2 linked regions of the Drosophila melanogaster genome follow. The gene in region 1 interacts genetically with each later gene. Each region holds a gene or a part of one and is shown in the gene's direction. Other genes may lie near its edges.

Region 1 (8,875 bases):
ATAATTCAACCCACTTGATAGAGTCGGTTATGGCCACACTTCATGGTCCTTTAATGGGTTTAGTAATGGTAATGATGAAAAAAGAGATATATCTAATTTATTATTATGCATATATATTCAGTTATTGAATAAAAATGTATTGTATACTTTCAACCAAGTTTTATATTAAAATGTGCGAGAGCATAAAGAGCAACCTCCTTCAAACCGCATCAATCAGCAATTATATCGCATATTTCCCAGCTCGCGCTCCGCATTTTCCAGCCAGACCACAAGCTGTGGAACATTCATGATTCCGGGAATTGCAAAGGGGCAAAATCAAAGTTCATTATTGCAGCAGTTGTGGCGAGAACGTACGGAGAAGTTTCCGCCCCGTAACGCCGCCTACTTCAAGGGCTCTCCATCCATCCGTCGTATTCACATGGCGTATACGCAATATAAATACGTAATTGCATGAAACACCATGGAAAACGGGCAGAGCCATTGATCAACTGGCAGTCAGCCGAAAGATGAAAGCCGAGTCCCGAAAACCAAAGGCATCGAGGCACAAAAGAGCAAAGCACCAAAGGAGCAGGATGAGCAGGAGGAGCATGAGGACTTCGTGGTTTCCACCAGGGCAGAGAAGCTCATCAACTAAATGCAAAGTTCTTGCAGGCTGGCTGCAGAACAAGAATAATTGACGACGACATGGCGATGGATAATGAGGCGACTACCCATCCTGCACACACGCAGGATATGACAGCGAAAGGCTGGCGACTCCTTGCAGCACTATAATCCTGCGGAAACACTTGAAAATGATGGATGAAAATTATCGCTTTGTGCAACGCATGCAAATGTGCAAAATTACTTTCACATGATTAATGCTCCACCGGAGGGCAGAGGCTGCTCCAGCTTCAACTACACCATCATCATCACCATCATCATCATCATCACTCCATAATTAATCGCGCCAAGTCGAAAAGCGGCAAAAGAAAGCCAGAAAGCAGACAATGGCTGAACTTCATTTGAAATTCATATTTTAAGTATTCGTCAGTCAATTAGAGAGCCAAGGACCCTGACACCGAATTTGCATTCAGCCGTGAAATTATCAAATTAATATTCCGGCCCCGAGAAGGGGGCGTGCCCCATCACCATCACCCCCGCCCGTCTTTCGCAATAACTGTCAACTCAAACTCAAGAAGTTTTCCACGCCGCACATTTCGGCAAGTTGTCAAGCCAGAGATACGAAAGTTCCCCGGTCCAACAATGCCAATTTGATGGGGGAAATTTTGAAATATTTATACACACTCAAACACACAGATACAGCAGAGGTGTGCTGGCAAAGTTGCCAGCCAAATTTGTTAATTGGAAGCCGAAAGTTTATCTATGAAAATGCTAAAGAAGCCCACTTGCAGTTCGAAAAATGCCAGAATGTATAATAATGGGGCAAGAAATGAGATTAGTCAGTATCCCAAACTTGAATGATCAAAGTTTCATGGATGGCGTAACTAATTTTGAAGTGGAATGATTAAATTTTGAAACTACTTATAATCGATATTACCATCCTGCGATCGGAACAATAAACTCAAACAATTCGATACTTCAATGGGATTGTAAATAATAAGTCATCTTAAATCATCCCAAGCATATTCAAATCGCTTGGAAGCCATTAAAGAGATAAGCGAGCATTGCAAAATGATATCAGCCAACTTGTAACAATTTTCATTGTCATTTTCAATTGGGAGCAGCCAGGAGGAGCTGGCCAAACAACAATGGGAACTGTTATCAAATAGGACACATGATGCATACGTGAGTGGGGGCTTCTATGCACATGGATGTGGTACATACATATGTACGTCCAATATTCTGGTCCATTTGGGCCAGGCCACTATCGAAATTTGAATGCTTAGTGTACCGGGCGACAAGCATCCTCGAACATTGAAATAAACCGATAAAAACGACAGATGAGCCCGGCATTTCGCCCACAATGCATGCCAGGCAGGCAATCGAGTGTGGTCGAGAAATAGTCGGGTAGCCCCCTTTTTGGTTTTGGGGCACAGCTCACTGCCCTGCAATTCTTATATAAAACCGGGGAAGTCCCCATCCCAACCGCCCATGCAAATCTCGAGCACTTGAGGCCGGTCCCCAGATTATTCCTTTTCCCTATTTTGGGCCACGTGGTCTGACCACTTGGCGGCTGCTCCAACTTTAATATTTCTTCGTTTAAATAGTCCTTTATTTCTGCAGAAATTAGACAAAATCAAAGACAATATATTTATGCTATATATTCATTTTCACTGTTATGTCTGTAAGGGTATTCAGAAATGCGCCTACTCTGTGTAGTTTTTCAATTTAGTTAGATACGATGAATATATTGAGATTCTGCCAGATTTAGATTGTGGTGTGTGAGTTTTCAGATTGGTTTGTAAGGACCCCTTTTGTTTGGTCCATATCAATACAAACTCCTCATGTGCATATAAAATAAGTAAAAAGGCAAAATATGAAACAAAACAAAAAGAAAAGGACATTCATATTTTGTAGCTATTGGGGGATTTTAAGTAATGTTATGAAATCATACCTTTCTTTATTTGTGTAAAGTATTCAATACACGCAACTAACGGGCAAAATTGGAAACACCCAAAAATTCAATTTTGGCGCGCACAGAAAGCTGCCCTTTTGGAATAGATTGGCAGCACTCTCGCGCACGGTGGCAACCTCGTCTAGGGACTGCCGATAGCAGCAAGTTCCGCCCGTGTGGCAACACCGCTAGAAAAACAGTCTAAATTTGCTGTGCAACACTGGCGGTTTGCAAAAATAATTTCGGTGCTCGCGTCAATCAGAAAAAGCCGAAAAGAACGGCCTTTATGTGCGCGAATTAATCGCCAGCCGAGTGGAACGCGACCAAAGGAACCCAGCACACACACACACTCAGAATGGAGGCCCTAATTCCGGTCATAAACAAGCTGCAGGACGTCTTCAACACCGTGGGCTCCGACTCCATCCAATTGCCCCAAATTGTTGTTCTAGGCAGTCAGGTAAATGCAAACTGCGAGGTGCCCAAAAATCCGCACACCGAAAACCATAAATCCCCGAGCTCCGTAAAAGGAGTGGCAACTGAGAACCGGAATATGGCGCAGCTATCTGAAACCCCAACTCTTGCGCTTTTCCAGTGACCGCAAAATTATATAACTGAGTGCGTTTGCCGGCATTTTAGTTGTGTTTTCAGTTTGTAGCAACATTTCAGCCAGCTTTCGCTCTTCGCGGCGTCCCCATTGTTTATATAATTATTTTTGGCACTGCTCGCCGCCGCCATGGAAAATCAATATGCCACAGTATTATACAAAAACGAAAAAAAAAACAGCTGCTGGCTGATGTGACACATTCCCCCACGAACACACTGCAAAAAACAAACGTACACATGTGTGACTTCGATAGTTGTGTCTGTATGTACATATATGTGTGCATGTTTCGATCGCTGGCTTAATTGCACTTTGATTCACGCTCTGGAATTAAGTCAGTATGACTAAATGCTCGCGCAACTCATTGATACCGAGTACAGCGGAGCTCCAATATGTTGAATCTGTGCCATTTCTTACCATTCATTTGGTTTTCTGTTGCAAAGGCTTAAGTTTGAGAAATTTGCAATCACAGAATGGCTCCCATTGCCAGATAAGAATAGTTAATCTGCGGTTTTCCAAGTGTTTCCTCGCTGCAAACGCTTGGGAGCCACCTTATCAGGTCATCGTCTTTTATCAGCCGTCGTTTTAACTCCCAGTAATACATACATTTCCCCTTTTTTCCAGAGCTCCGGCAAGAGTTCGGTGATCGAGAGCGTTGTGGGACGATCCTTTCTGCCCCGTGGAACTGGTATTGTGACCCGTCGCCCACTGGTGCTCCAGCTGATCTACAGCCCACTCGATGATCGCGAGAATCGCTCGGCGGAAAATGGTGAGTTGAGACGTCAGAAGTTCGGGAAAACCCAATTGCTAAACCACATAACACTTAGGTACGTCCAATGCCGAGGAGTGGGGCCGCTTCCTGCACACCAAGAAGTGCTTCACGGACTTTGACGAGATCCGCAAGGAGATCGAAAACGAAACGGAGCGGGCGGCGGGCAGCAACAAGGGCATCTGCCCGGAGCCCATCAACCTGAAGATATTCTCAACGCACGTGGTCAACCTAACGCTGGTGGATCTGCCCGGCATCACCAAGGTCCCGGTGGGCGATCAGCCGGAGGATATCGAGGCGCAGATCAAAGAATTGGTCCTCAAGTACATTGAGAACCCGAACTCCATCATTTTGGCTGTGACGGCCGCCAACACGGACATGGCCACCAGTGAGGCACTCAAGCTGGCCAAGGACGTGGACCCCGATGGCCGGCGCACTCTGGCCGTGGTCACGAAACTGGATCTCATGGATGCCGGCACCGATGCCATCGACATCCTGTGCGGCCGGGTCATTCCCGTCAAGCTGGGCATCATCGGCGTTATGAATCGCTCGCAGAAGGACATCATGGACCAAAAGCACATCGACGATCAGATGAAGGACGAGGCCGCCTTCCTGCAGCGCAAGTATCCCACTCTGGCCACCCGGAACGGCACGCCCTACTTGGCCAAGACCCTCAACCGGCTCCTGATGCACCACATCCGGGACTGCCTGCCAGATCTTAAGGTGAGTCTAGTCTATAAAGACTGCATATCGATTTCACAAACTATGCGAGAATCTCAGGCTAAAACTTCAAGAAAATGTAAAAAAATGAAACAAACTTGGCACTCGATTATAATCGATCTTTATATTTTTCTATGGTAAAGCAAGAGAAGATTAATGGCAGATAAGGTTAGAATAGCATGTTGAATTCAAGAGAATGACTTCCCATATTCTTGCAGACTCGCGTCAACATCATGGCCACGCAATTCCAATCGCTGCTGAACTCCTATGGCGAGGATGTCTCCGACAAGAGCCAGACCCTGCTGCAGATCATCACGAAGTTCTCCAGCGCCTACTGCTGCACAATCGAGGGCACGGCCAGGAATATCGAGACCACGGAACTGTGCGGCGGTGCCCGGATGGGCTACATTTTCCACGAGACCTTCGGCCGCACCCTGGACTCCATTCACCCGCTGGCGGGTCTGAGCAAGATGGACATACTGACAGCCATCCGGAATGCCACTGGTCCACGCCCGGCTTTGTTCGTTCCGGAGGTCTCGTTCGAACTGCTAGTGAAGCGCCAGATTCGCCGCCTGGAGGAACCCTCCTTGCGCTGCGTGGAACTCATTCACGAGGAGATGCAGCGCATTGTTCAGCATTGTGGCAACGAAGTGCAGCAGGAGATGCTGCGGTATGTGAACTCATGATAGCTGAACGCCAAAGGTTTTCATCGATCTCCCCTACAGCTTTCCCAAACTGCACGAGAAGATTGTGGACGTGGTCACCCAGCTGCTGCGTCGACGTCTGCCGCACACCAACGTGATGGTGGAGAACATTGTGGCCATCGAGCTGGCCTACATCAACACCAAGCACCCCGACTTCCACAAGGATGCCGCTTTGGTGCCCAGTCTGCTGAAAACGGACAGCGATCCCTACTCACAGATAAATCTGGGGCAGCGGCGGGCCAATACACCGCGAAACCACATGTCGCCTCAGATTTCGTCGCACAGTGCTGGTTCACAGCAGCCGCAGCAGCAACAGCCGCCGCAGCCGAATTCCTCACAGCAGCAATATAGCCAAGTGCATGAGCAGGTGCCAGCGGAATCTTCATTTATGTATGCAACCTATTTAACCCATTTTCGTTTCGCTCTCTAGAACCACGTCGCCGAGAACTCGACGCCTTCGATGGCCAGCACATGGCTGTCAAACATTTTACCGCCGGCACCAACGCGTCCGGACAGCATTGAGAACTCGACCAACAACACTCCGGTTCACAATAACATCGTGAGTCCAGTGAAGCCGGTCAATCTGCTGCCCGATGTGCCGGCCAACCACAATCCACGTCGCCTCACTGACAAGGAGCAGAAGGATTGCGATGTCATCGGTGGGTTGCACTTAACTCGGGCCACTTAAAGACCTAACTCAATCTGACTACTTTTTGTTTTTAGAACACCTGATCAAATCGTATTTCTACATTGTGCGCAAATCCATACAAGACTCGGTTCCAAAGGCCATCATGCATTTCTTGGTTAACTACGTTAAGGACAACTTGCAGAGCGAATTGGTTACACATCTGTATAAGTCGGATAAGGCTGAAACCCTGCTCAACGAGTCCGATCACATTGCAGTGCGCCGAAAAGAGGCGGCAGATATGCTGAAGGTGCGCTTGGCTAGCTTATACTTAGCTTGACATCGTTTTAAACTTACTTTTGATTTCAGGCACTGACGCGAGCGAATCACATCATCAGCGAAATCCGCGAGACCCACATGTGGTAGGCTGGTCAGCGATTGGAGCAACCCGTTTCGACTTAATAATCCCCGCATATAAGCAACATAAAAACTATTTATTGAAGACGCGTTCAAAGAGAACGAACTCCTTTGTTAAATGTTCCCCCTACCGAGCACTGAAATATCATCAAATTGCATGCGACCCCCAAATTCTGGGCCTTTCATTTAGCCAACTCGCATTTCTATTCGCCTGGCATTTGTCTATCATCGAGCCTCTCCGCTTTTTAAATTAATAAGAAGTTGTAGACGCCGTGATTGGTTTGATTAGGTTACTCAAAGCACTTATTACACATTGAATAGTCAAATAAAGCAGAAAAGGTTGATTCAAACATAGTAGATGTGTTTTCTGTCACGGCAGCTAAAAGTTTACGAAGGCAACGTCATCATGTTGAATGATACACCTGGAATTTCGATTAGATAAGCCATTATGTTCGTAAAGTTGCTAGGCTCAGTCTGAAGATTAATAAGTGTTTAAATCTGATAGGAGTTGAATCTTCCTGAGTTTTGAGATGCGTAGCAATTGCTTAGCCTTACTAAAAACAAAATTTTTCTTACAAATTATGTTACATGTAGGTGTGGCTTGAGTGAACTAGAAGTACGTTCGTTCCCCTGATTGAAATCACTGCCACTCACCTTTCGTAATAAAAACTTTAATACTTGGATACCAGTTAAAATCTAATTTGGAAAACGTCATTTGTATTGCGGCGAAGAAACAGAAGTGGGTTCCAGCTGGGGCGTGGCAAATCCCGAAGATAAGGATGTGGTGTCCAGTGCTCCAATCCTGTGTTGATTAAATGCTCCGCGATGCGTATGAATCGGTTTATGGGGCAGGGAACAGTTGGGGTAGTGACTCTATGACCGCCTTTGGCTGTGCTGATCTCCTCTAGGCGCGATTTGTGTCGGACAGCACGCGGACAATGCAGCCCACTCCTCCCTTGGCGAAGGCCTTCTCATGCCACTGCAGCAGGTGGCCACTGGAGCCCTCCGAGGGGATCTCGAATCCCCGATATATGTACTTCATCAGCACGTCTATTAGGTCGTTCTGGTCCAAGGTGTCGATGGCCTGGTCCATTTGCGTCGACTTGATGGACAGCAGCACCCGCAGCGTGATGTTCAGGGCGTGGTCCTGCAATGCAAGGAAGGATTAGCTTTATAGGGTTCTCGATACGAATAGGTGTGGCTACCCACCTTCACATTCTGGTTCTTGCAGCGCAGCGGGGCATTCTGCAGCGCACTCAGGAGCGCCTCCACGGATTTTCCCTGCGTCAGCAGCGTCGTAATCTCGCTCTCATCCGGACCGGCTGCCGCGCTCTCCACCCCATCATCCTCCCGGAAGTTGTCCTCATTGTACTGGTCCACATCGATCTTGCGGAACGCGTTGCTGGACGTGTTTTTGGCCATGTTTTCGCTAAATTCCCACCACTTTTCTCTACAAAAATATGAATCACAAAATCCGGCAAGGCAAAACAGATGAGTGGCAGTGTGGCCGAACCTCAGAAAATACTAGCTGCAGTATTATTACCAAAGCGCCAATAATGCACAGGATACATCCAAGCAACAAAAAACATGAGTTTCACAATCACTTATCTCAGCAAATGAAAGTCTAATGAGCTTTAAAAATATTTTGAGAGTAGGTTTCGACCAATCTTGTTCCATTTTTACTTCAAAGAATATGATTGATATGATTCAGTATTTCTAGCTGGTGCTTTTGACCTCTCCTGGCCACACTGCAGATTGACTTTGTTTTTGTTTCAAGTGAGTCCAAGAAAATCGAAATTATTTACGTTTAATATATTTCTGGGTTTTCCCGGCAGCATGGCAAAGTTTTTGGGCATCAACCGGCTGACAAAGCTGTTCCAGATGGTCCGCGAAGCCGGAGGACTGAAGCAAGCGTACCTGAAGCTCTATAGGTGAGTCTCGATCTTATATAAGATTGCTCCAATCCTGAAAACCGCATATGCGCTATTTTCCAGGAACGATGATCTGAAGATCGGAACCCTGGTGGGCATCGACAAGTACGGCAACAAGTACTTCGAGAACCCGTACTACTTCTACGGCCGCAATCGCTGGATCGAGTTCGCCCCCCACGTCAACATGGACTACGATGGATCCATGATTCCCGCCGAGTGGTACGGCTGGATGCACTACAAGGTGGGTTTAGACTACATCTTGTCGCACATGTTATTACCTTTTTCCTTATAGACCGATCTGCCTCCCATTCGCGATGGATGCCGCCCCAAGTACAAGTGGATAGCGGACCACAGCGAGAATCTTTCCGGAACTAAGGGTAACTATGCACTATTCCCATTAAGTAAGCCCCCTAATTCAATCCTGCTCTTGCAGAGGCCTACTACCCCTACTCCACAACACCCAACAAAGTGGAGGCCTGGGAACCCAAGGCGAAGAAGCAGTAGTGTGGCATAGCTTATAATTATTTTTAAATTCAAGTGCAAATGGCTGCGAT
Region 2 (9,516 bases), on another chromosome or scaffold:
CTGATTTACGTAACATTCAATTCTCCTACAAAGGGATCTAAAGCCGGAGAACGTGGTGTTTTTCGAAAAGCTGGGCCTTGTCAAGCTCACCGACTTCGGGTTTAGCAACAAGTTCTTGCCGGGCCAAAAGCTAGAAACCTTCTGCGGCAGCTTGGCCTACTCGGCCCCAGAGATCCTGCTGGGCGACTCCTATGATGCGCCTGCAGTTGGTATGTAGACAACTAATATGTCCCATAACCCTTTGTTAATCATTTTATCTGATTTGTTTAGACATTTGGTCCCTGGGAGTAATTCTGTATATGCTGGTCTGCGGTCAGGCGCCTTTCGAGAAGGCCAACGACTCGGAAACTCTGACCATGATCATGGATTGTAAGTACACGGTACCCTCGCACGTGTCCACTGATTGTCGGGACCTGATTGCCTCAATGCTGGTGCGGGATCCAAAGAAACGGGCCACTGTGGAAGAGATTGCTTCATCGGCTTGGCTAAAGCCCATCGATGAGCCCGATTCGACGACCTCCACCTCAGAGCACTTTCTGCCTTTGGTCAGTCGCGAACAGCTGGGCGAAGAGGATCACGCCTTTATCATACAAAAAATGATAAACGGAAACATTGCGTCCAAGGAAGAGATATTGCAGTGAGTACAATAGCACAAATAATAAATCAATTTTGTCTTGCTAACACCAAGTGACGTCATTACAGAGCTCTTGACAAAAATAAGTACAATCATATAACAGCCACATATTTTTTGTTGGCGGAATTACGTCTGCGACGGCGACGAGAAGAGCTGGCTCAAAAACAGAGGCTGCTCAACGATGCCAGCATGAAGTGAGTTTAAAATAACAACCACCTTGGATTCTTAATCTTTTATATGCATATTCAGAGTGGGAGATGCGAGTCGCAAGCTAGTGCCTGAGAAACCAAGTCCAACCGAAGCCCAAAAAGGAGGAGTACCCATCAGCATTAACGTGACTCCAGCAGCTCAGTTTGCCAATGACGGTGGCAAGCCGGTAAGTTAATTAGCAATTAGCAATCGATTTTAAGTGCAGTAAATCTAATAAATGCAAGTGCTTTTATCAGGACAAGCGCAGTCGCAAGTGCAGCATTGTGCGTGAGGAGGACGAAGAGGAGTCTGCCACAGAATGCACGGCGGTAGGCAATGAGTTGAAGGTAACGTCGTCGTCGCGGCGCGAGGCCTTCTCAGATTCCCCCTTTAGTAGGTCAATACATGAGCGTTCCAGCTCTGAGCCCGGAAATCAAACGAAAGGCGAACAGATAGCTAATAGCGGAGTGCCAAGCCATTCACGTACAAAGATTGTCGTCTCGGTGGATGCAACGCTGGCCCATAAGCTCAAGCAGATGGAGAAGAGTGCCAAGATCGATGAGGACACGCTGAGTGGTCTGAAGGAGCTGGAGATCGGCAAGCTCAAGCCGCTTCCTAGCAGCAGCAAGAATCCGGTGCTTACCCACCGTCGCACAAAGCTGAACAAGATTCGGACGCCTTCATGCAGCAGCTCGGAGGCCTCAGACGACGACACCAAGACACGCAACAAGAAAAAGATTAACAAATTTGTCGGTGACACGCCAGTGCGGTTTCGCATGCATCGTCGCGACTCGCATGACGACTCCAGCGACTCGCAAGATCAGCTATATCCGCCGCCCGGCTCGGCCAGCAATGCGGGTAATTTTATCTCCAAAAGCGGCTCAGTAAGCGGCAAAAAAGAGGGACAATCGCAGTATAAAGAGGTACGATTATTATTGTATAATTATCAGTGAGACAGCTACTAAACTTATATTCTTTGCTTACAGCCAAATAACAAATCCGATGAAAATCGCAAATCTCACAGCCAAAAAAATCGGAAACAGCACAACAAGGATCATGTTGATAAGCATTCCCACGCTGAGAGGCAGCTGGCGGATAGCAGCACAGCTACAACAGGAAATTCCACGAATAGAAGGCGGCGCATTCGCGAGAGCCAGTCGCTGGACCGCATCACAGAGGCTCAGGAATACGAGATGCGGCATCGATGCTACGCGGAGAGCGAGGCAGCATCCTCGTCGTCCTCGTCCACCCAACATATCGATCAGAGATATTCTTTACTCAGCCTAAACACTAGCACATTCTCCGTTGCCGAAACCAAGGAGGAGTACGACGAGGAGGCAGACGCCACAAATGCCACGGACCAAATCATGAATACTTTGAATGCAGCCAAAGCAACGCTTCAACAAGAGCAATATTTTAATAACAATACCAATCTTAGTAGGAACTTCAATCACAATCACAACCAGAGCATCATCCACATCAGTAGCCAGAAAGCCAACGGCAAGAAGTCCAACGAAACACCAAAAGATATTTATAATCTGAACTCAATCGAGCATATCGACTTGATTTTGGAGGATAAAAGCCTTACCAAAGCAATACACGTTACCGGCTCTAAATGCTTTGTCACCATGAAGAAAATCCGACGGCTGGGAAAATATTTTCCCGTGATGAACTTCTCTTAATAGACACAGTTACTTCTTTGCAAAGTGCATTCTAAATATTAAAAAGAAACTCGGTTAAGCGAACTACATAGAAAATATGCATGTATTAATTAAAACGTATAAACGTCAACGTTATCCCCCGTATATAGGAAAGAGCGCGAGAATATTTAAATTTAGTGGTAGCGTAATTGTTTTGTCTGTCGTCGTCATTACGCTTAAATTATTCTAAATATATTAATTTATGTTAATTATAAGTCTAATCACTCAATGCAATATTTAGTGAAAATACATTAATGCCCATATGACAATTGACTAAAAAGGTTATTTGTTTTCTTTTTAACAAATTGTGACGAATTAAAATGGAATGAAACTCGCAACTCGCACAATCTAAAATTGGCAATTCAAATGTTTGCGCCCAACTACAGTGTGTACACACCACAAATGTTGTAGAGTAGGTAAAGGAAATAAAGCAATAAACATTTAACTACTTAAAGCTCTTAAGATGTAGTTAAGCAATGATGGATGTCACCAAGCAATTTTTTTTTATTGTAAGAAAAATATACAATATACAAAAATATATTCTTTTATTTTACAAAATGATGCGTGTAAAATACATTGTACCTAATGCAGGTACCCCAAACGAGTACAAGCCACCCTTTTCAACTCTGGTCACACAGAGCACATCCCGTAAAGTTTTTCAGAGATGAGTTTGCGGCAGGAAAATTGAATTATTCACGGAAATAAACAAAGTAAACTAAGTGGAAACTGTAATCCTGACCAGCAATTATGTTGCGCATCTATCAAAATACTTACCGGTGAGAGACCACGCCCGAAACGCGAAAGCCTTACGTGCAGATTTTCTGCACGATTTCGTCATCGGCGAATCTCATCATTCAATGTGTTTTGCCCACAGGCGCACCGCGAGAAAAGCTGTTGTCTACTCCACCAAGGTCGCCTGCTGCAATCATTCCACGCTCTGTGGCATCACCAGCCATCCACGTCGGGCGCAGGATAGCGGGAGCTCCAGTTCGAATGGCAGGCACCGTGGCCACGAGGAGTTCCTACTTGCCGGCAATCCGGCGCGGGGCTGGCAAATGCCTCCGCCGTCGCGTGGTTACGGAATGCTGGTGGTGCGCATACTGCGGGGAGCCCTCAAGCTGCGATACATCGTCCTGGGCGGCGCCATCGGCGGGGGCGTGTCGCTGAGCAAAGTGAGTTTCGCAAGTTATATAACTTGTATAGAACTTAGGAGACATGATTTGTTTTCCGCAGAAATACGAGGAATGGAAGGATGGACTGCCGAATTTTAAGTGGCTGGAGGATGCCATGCCGCAGGGCGAACGGTGGAGCCAGTTCTCGCGGAATCTCATTGAGGTGGGCTCGCTGGTGAAGAACGCCATCGAAGTTGGTGAGTGTCCATGTAGACCTACCATCGCCCTTTCAATCTCTCACTTTAAATGGTCATATACCTTGGTCAGATTCGCATTGAACTCTTCGTTTTGATTGATTGATACTGATGTTATTGGGGCGTTTGCTTGTAGATCCAAAGCTCAAGCAGCTGGGCGAGGATAAGTTGTCGGAATGGCGCAACTGGTTTGACAGTCGTCTGGACGATGCCATCGAGGCGGCCGATTATCAAGGAGTTCAGATTGTCGAAAGTAGGTTACACAAATTACACAGACTCCCAACGTTGGGACCATTTAAAGTGAGAGATCCCTATCTACCGCATTCGAGACTTATTCCTAACATCTGTTGCAGCCAAAGATGACTTAAAGGCCAAAACAACGGTGGCCGCTTTAGGCATAACATCCGATGAGAGTCGTAAGAAGTATGGTAGGTTTTTTGCACACCTGCCGAAAGATATACTATATCTAATCCTTCTGTGATTCCGCAGAGAAACTCCAGAGCCAGGTGGAGACGCTGCAGACGGAGATCATGAACGTCCAGATTAAGTACCAAAAGGAGCTGGAGAAGATGGAGAAGGAGAACCGTGAACTACGCCAGCAATACCTCATCCTGAAAACAAACAAAAAGACCACGGCAAAAAAAATCAAAAAATCCCTGATCGACATGTACTCTGAGGTCCTTGATGAGCTATCCGGCTACGATACGGGCTACACCATGGCCGATCACCTACCCCGTGTTGTGGTAGTGGGAGATCAGAGCAGCGGCAAGACCTCTGTCCTGGAATCCATTGCTAAGGCTCGCATCTTTCCCCGTGGCAGTGGAGAGATGATGACGCGAGCCCCAGTCAAAGTTACTCTGGCTGAAGGACCATACCATGTGGCTCAGTTCCGTGACTCTGACCGGGAATACGATCTCACCAAGGAGTCTGATCTGCAGGACCTCCGTCGGGATGTGGAGTTCCGAATGAAGGCGTCGGTGAGAGGTGGTAAAACCGTCAGCAATGAAGTCATTGCCATGACGGTCAAGGGTCCCGGTCTGCAACGCATGGTTCTAGTCGATTTGCCAGGAATAATTTCGGTGAGCAAGTCAATACAAGTAAAACTGCGCACATCTAATGCTAATATCATTTTAGACCATGACTGTCGACATGGCCTCAGACACAAAAGATTCCATTCACCAGATGACCAAGCATTATATGAGCAATCCGAACGCCATCATTCTCTGCATTCAGGATGGATCTGTGGACGCTGAGCGCAGTAATGTGACAGACTTGGTCATGCAGTGCGATCCCTTGGGTCGACGCACTATTTTTGTGCTCACAAAGGTGGATCTGGCCGAGGAGCTCGCCGATCCTGATAGAATAAGGAAAATCCTTTCGGGCAAACTCTTCCCCATGAAGGCTTTGGGCTACTATGCCGTCGTTACCGGTCGTGGACGAAAGGATGACAGCATAGATGCTATTCGGCAGTATGAGGAAGACTTCTTTAAGAACTCCAAGCTTTTCCAGTAAGTATAGAGAGGATGTGATTGGTAAATTCCAAAGTTCACCTCTCTCCATACTTAGTCGTCGAGGGGTTATCATGCCCCATCAGGTGACCAGCCGCAATCTGAGCTTGGCGGTGTCAGATCGTTTCTGGAAGATGGTGAGGGAAACCATTGAGCAGCAGGCGGATGCATTTAAGGCGACTAGATTTAATCTGGAAACCGAATGGAAAAATAACTTCCCCAGGTTTGTAAAAATGTTTTAAAAAATATAAGAGATCTATAACATTTGAGGTATACTCTTTTAGATTGCGCGAGTCTGGTCGAGATGAGCTGTTCGACAAGGCAAAGGGCGAGATACTGGACGAGGTGGTAACGCTCTCGCAAATCTCCGCTAAAAAGTGGGACGACGCTCTGAGCACCAAGCTATGGGAAAAGCTCTCCAATTATGTGTTTGAAAGCATCTATCTGCCCGCTGCACAGTCAGGTTCTCAAAGTAATATTTTGTAGTACTAAGTGTAGGTTGTAAGCAGATTTCGCCGACGTCATCGATGGGGGCACGTCCATCCAATCGCCCGCCTTGTGTGCTCCGTCATTGTGTGTGTTTCTTGCAAGAAGATATGGCTTGGCCTCGAACCTCACGTGTCTCTGCAAAACGTTGTGTCGTTTAAATGTTTTGTTTAATTTTGTATTTATCATGGCCCGCATTCAGCGTCGAATTCCCGTGCAAGGGAATCACATGCGTTAAATAATTTCAAACCGGTTTGACTGATATTCCTGCAACATTTCTTGAATCACAAGTGTAAATTTAATGTGTACTCCCCGGCGGACGATTTCGAATCCCATTAACACCGTTTGCCTTTGCCCCAAAATAGTGACCCGGGATTGTCACAGGTTCTGCGTTGCGATCATGTGCCGGAAAGTCGCTTATAACGAAGATTTACGAGCACCTGTACCGAAACCAGATTTTGGTTTATGTTCACATTATAAAAACGTATGCGATATTAGCGATTTATGACCGAAAAACCCGTTTAAGCCATCGCTCAGCTTGTGTTTATTTAGCATTTTATGACAGACCTGTTAATTTGCTCAATGAATTCATCCAAATCAATGTCTAATTGAATTAAATTGCAGTTATCGAGTTAGGAATCTGAATGTTTCGTCGCTTTGTTTATCATTCCCCCCGTAGTTGTGTGTCTAGTTAATTTGGCTCAACTAATTTCATACGATTACTATGCTCTTTATAGATTCCTTCAACACGATGGTAGACATCAAGTTGCGCCAGTGGGCCGAGCAGGCACTGCCCGCTAAGTCGGTGGAAGCTGGCTGGGAAGCGTTGCAGCAGGAATTCATATCGCTGATGGAGCGTTCGAAGAAGGCGCAGGATCACGACGGCATCTTCGATCAGTTGAAGTCTGCGGTGGTGGATGAGGCTATACGTCGGCACAGCTGGGAGGACAAGGCCATCGACATGCTTCGCGTTATCCAGCTGAATACGCTGGAGGATCGGTTCGTGCACGACAAGCAGGAGTGGGATTCGGCGGTTAAGTTCCTGGAGAGTTCGGTGAATGCCAAGCTCGTGCAGACGGAGGAGACTTTAGCACAAATGTTTGGTCCCGGCCAAATGCGACGAATTACCCACTGGCAGTACCTGACGCAGGATCAGCAGAAGAGGCGAAGCGTTAAGAACGAACTCGACAAAATACTCAAAAACGATACGGTATGGGTAGTATACATTATATAGTTAGTTATTCCTCATTTACACGCATTACATTATGTTGGTAGAAACATTTGCCCACCCTGACCCATGATGAACTGACTACGGTTCGCAAGAACCTTCAGCGTGATAACGTGGATGTGGACACGGACTACATAAGGCAAACGTGGTTCCCGGTCTACAGAAAGTAAGTTGTAATGCTAAACCATTTAGACTGCTTATCAGTTAGCACATATGTCTCTTTTTTCAGACACTTTCTGCAGCAGGCGTTACAGAGGGCAAAGGATTGCCGCAAAGCATATTACCTCTACACGCAGCAGGGAGCCGAGTGTGAGGTAAGTGTTAAGGTTTTCCCTCTTATCTGAACCAATTTACTTAACTTATTGCTTTCTCAGATATCCTGCAGCGACGTCGTGCTCTTCTGGCGCATCCAGCAGGTGATCAAGATAACAGGCAACGCACTGAGACAGCAAGTAATCAATCGGGAGGCGCGGCGGCTGGACAAGGAGATCAAAGCGGTGCTGGACGAGTTCAGCGATGACGAGGAGAAGAAGGGTTACCTGCTCACCGGCAAGCGCGTGCTACTAGCCGAGGAGCTAAGTGAGTGCTTTGCTTAATTGAATTTGGCGCCAATTTAATTGCTTTCAATTCAACAGTCAAAGTGCGGCAGATCCAAGAGAAGCTGGAGGAGTTCATCAATTCACTTAATCAGGAAAAGTAGTGTGCCATGACCAAAGACACAACACCCGAGGCGTTACTTATTTAACTTGATAGTTTAAGACCACATTTGAAATGTTTGTTCATAGTCACGCTTGAGCCCCTTAGTTAAGCATACTTTGTGCTCCGAAAGTAATAAACAAATAGATCGTTAGTTCGTATTATTGAAATCGTCTTTATTGTTTATGAAGTGTAACCTTATGTCGCATGCAATGCAATGTAAACTCATTAATTTAAATGTAATATAAATCATTCATTCTGTTTTAATGTAATTGTAGTTGATAAACGTTAACGCGAAACGCACTCATCGTGCTGAGTATGTAGCGGTCCGTGTGTGTTTCTGAATCTGTATCGTGTAATATATATATATACATATATATTTAAATCGGTTTGCATAAGAGCACAGCACTTTTACCAGATGCCTCATCGTGCGGTTGATTGTTTGTTTCGTTTTGTCCACGATCGGCTAATCCCGCGATGCGCCGGCATCTGTATCGGTATCGAGATCGGTGGTGGGTGCATTAACCCCGACCGATCGTCTGGCCGCGTCTCTAATTGATTGATTGTTTGATTGATAAACGTATATCTAGCTAACTATGTATGTAGCTAGCTATGTAACATAACAAGTCCGTGATTGCGGTGCAGTACCATATCTCTTACAAGGTAAACAAATGCTCGTTCCCTATCATGTTAAATAACTCAACAAACGATTCTTAACTTGGCAGTCGACTTGTGGCCCAGCCATAGCCATGTGCTCAGCTGCTTAAGGCTATCGTAATAATATTAATAATGTGTTCGGTTCTCCTCCACTCCGATCCTCCGCTTAGTCTAGCTGCTAAATTCTAGTCCACATATGGGCTCCTCCACTAAAGCTTATAGAAACATAATTTACACTCGCGCTCCACTCTGCTCGTATGCGTGTGATTTGGGATAGGGTTGGTTGTGTGGTATTAGGGGTGTGTGTGGTAGGCACTCGATATCGCTGAAGGCACAACATTACGATTAGTCTTATCTTAATTGTATTAAGTACTCGGAACACGCTTTCGCACTCGCTTCCCTCCGAAATCGGGAGTTCCTTCGACAGGATGAGTGATTGTCAATTAATGTTGCCAATACCGAAAGGTGCTATCGAAGATAGTTGTGGCTGCGATGACTGCGAGGTGTTCAGGCTGTCTGGCATGTCTTCATTCGCTCCGATCCAAGCAGCTCCTTAGGCCGCCGGCAGGGGTGTTAGCTTCTCGTTGCGCCGCTCCTCCCATCGGCTGACCCAGGTGAGCGGGTAGCACAGGAAGGCCGAGAGGAGGATCAGGCCACCAGCGAAGTAGAAGGCGGCGTTGTAGCTGCCTGTCATCACATAGAGGCCACCTGTTGGATAAATGAATAAACAAATCTTTAGTTCAAGTTTCATCCGATCTCTAAGAACCTCTTTAATTGGCCAAAACTATTTAGTTTATACCATTGCCACTGCTGTCGGAAACTCACCTGCAATGGGACTGCCGAAAGTAGCTGCCAATCCCTGGAAGAGCATCAGGAATCCGTACGCGTTGGTCAGCTTCTCCAGTCCGATCAGCTCCACGGCGATCAGGGATCGCAGGGCGGAGAAGCAGGCAATGCAGATACCGAAGAACAGGGCGAATGTCCACTGGGTGGCCGTGTTGATGACAATGCCGCTGCAGATGGTAGCGATGCCGCCGGCGGTTAGGGCAAAG

Evidence for each region. A genetic interaction does not mean that the proteins touch.
Region 2: of Drp1 (region 1) and Opa1, changing one suppresses a phenotype caused by changing the other (phenotypic suppression), as found in Drosophila melanogaster (one study listed by BioGRID).

What each region holds. Positions count from the first base shown.
Region 1 is NT_033779.5:2,579,306-2,588,180, reverse strand, and holds Drp1 (dynamin related protein 1), read left to right. Parts: upstream 1-2,750; 5' UTR 2,751-2,909; coding exon 2,910-3,011; intron 3,012-3,779; coding exon 3,780-3,924; intron 3,925-3,982; coding exon 3,983-4,647; intron 4,648-4,862; coding exon 4,863-5,314; intron 5,315-5,369; coding exon 5,370-5,715; intron 5,716-5,778; coding exon 5,779-6,007; intron 6,008-6,071; coding exon 6,072-6,283; intron 6,284-6,342; coding exon 6,343-6,399; 3' UTR 6,400-6,900; downstream 6,901-8,875. Other genes in the region: Arpc5 (Actin-related protein 2/3 complex, subunit 5), read right to left, coding at 7,295-7,537, 7,600-7,812; ND-B17.2 (NADH dehydrogenase (ubiquinone) B17.2 subunit), read left to right, coding at 8,227-8,321, 8,385-8,562, 8,614-8,698, 8,755-8,825.
Region 2 is NT_033778.4:14,229,069-14,238,584, reverse strand, and holds Opa1 (optic atrophy 1), read left to right. Parts: upstream 1-3,135; 5' UTR 3,136-3,270; coding exon 3,271-3,299; intron 3,300-3,397; coding exon 3,398-3,695; intron 3,696-3,756; coding exon 3,757-3,892; intron 3,893-4,025; coding exon 4,026-4,142; intron 4,143-4,242; coding exon 4,243-4,317; intron 4,318-4,378; coding exon 4,379-4,968; intron 4,969-5,023; coding exon 5,024-5,397; exon of another isoform or gene 5,398-5,455; coding exon 5,456-5,620; intron 5,621-5,681; coding exon 5,682-5,869; coding exon of another isoform or gene 5,870-5,883; exon of another isoform or gene 5,884-6,620; coding exon 6,621-7,093; intron 7,094-7,158; coding exon 7,159-7,277; intron 7,278-7,340; coding exon 7,341-7,425; intron 7,426-7,485; coding exon 7,486-7,690; intron 7,691-7,746; coding exon 7,747-7,811; 3' UTR 7,812-7,974; downstream 7,975-9,516. Other genes in the region: Snrk (SNF related kinase), read left to right, coding at 34-209, 271-637, 703-828, 884-1,010, 1,081-1,746, 1,810-2,505; CG8468 (uncharacterized protein), read right to left, coding at 9,018-9,172, 9,290-9,516.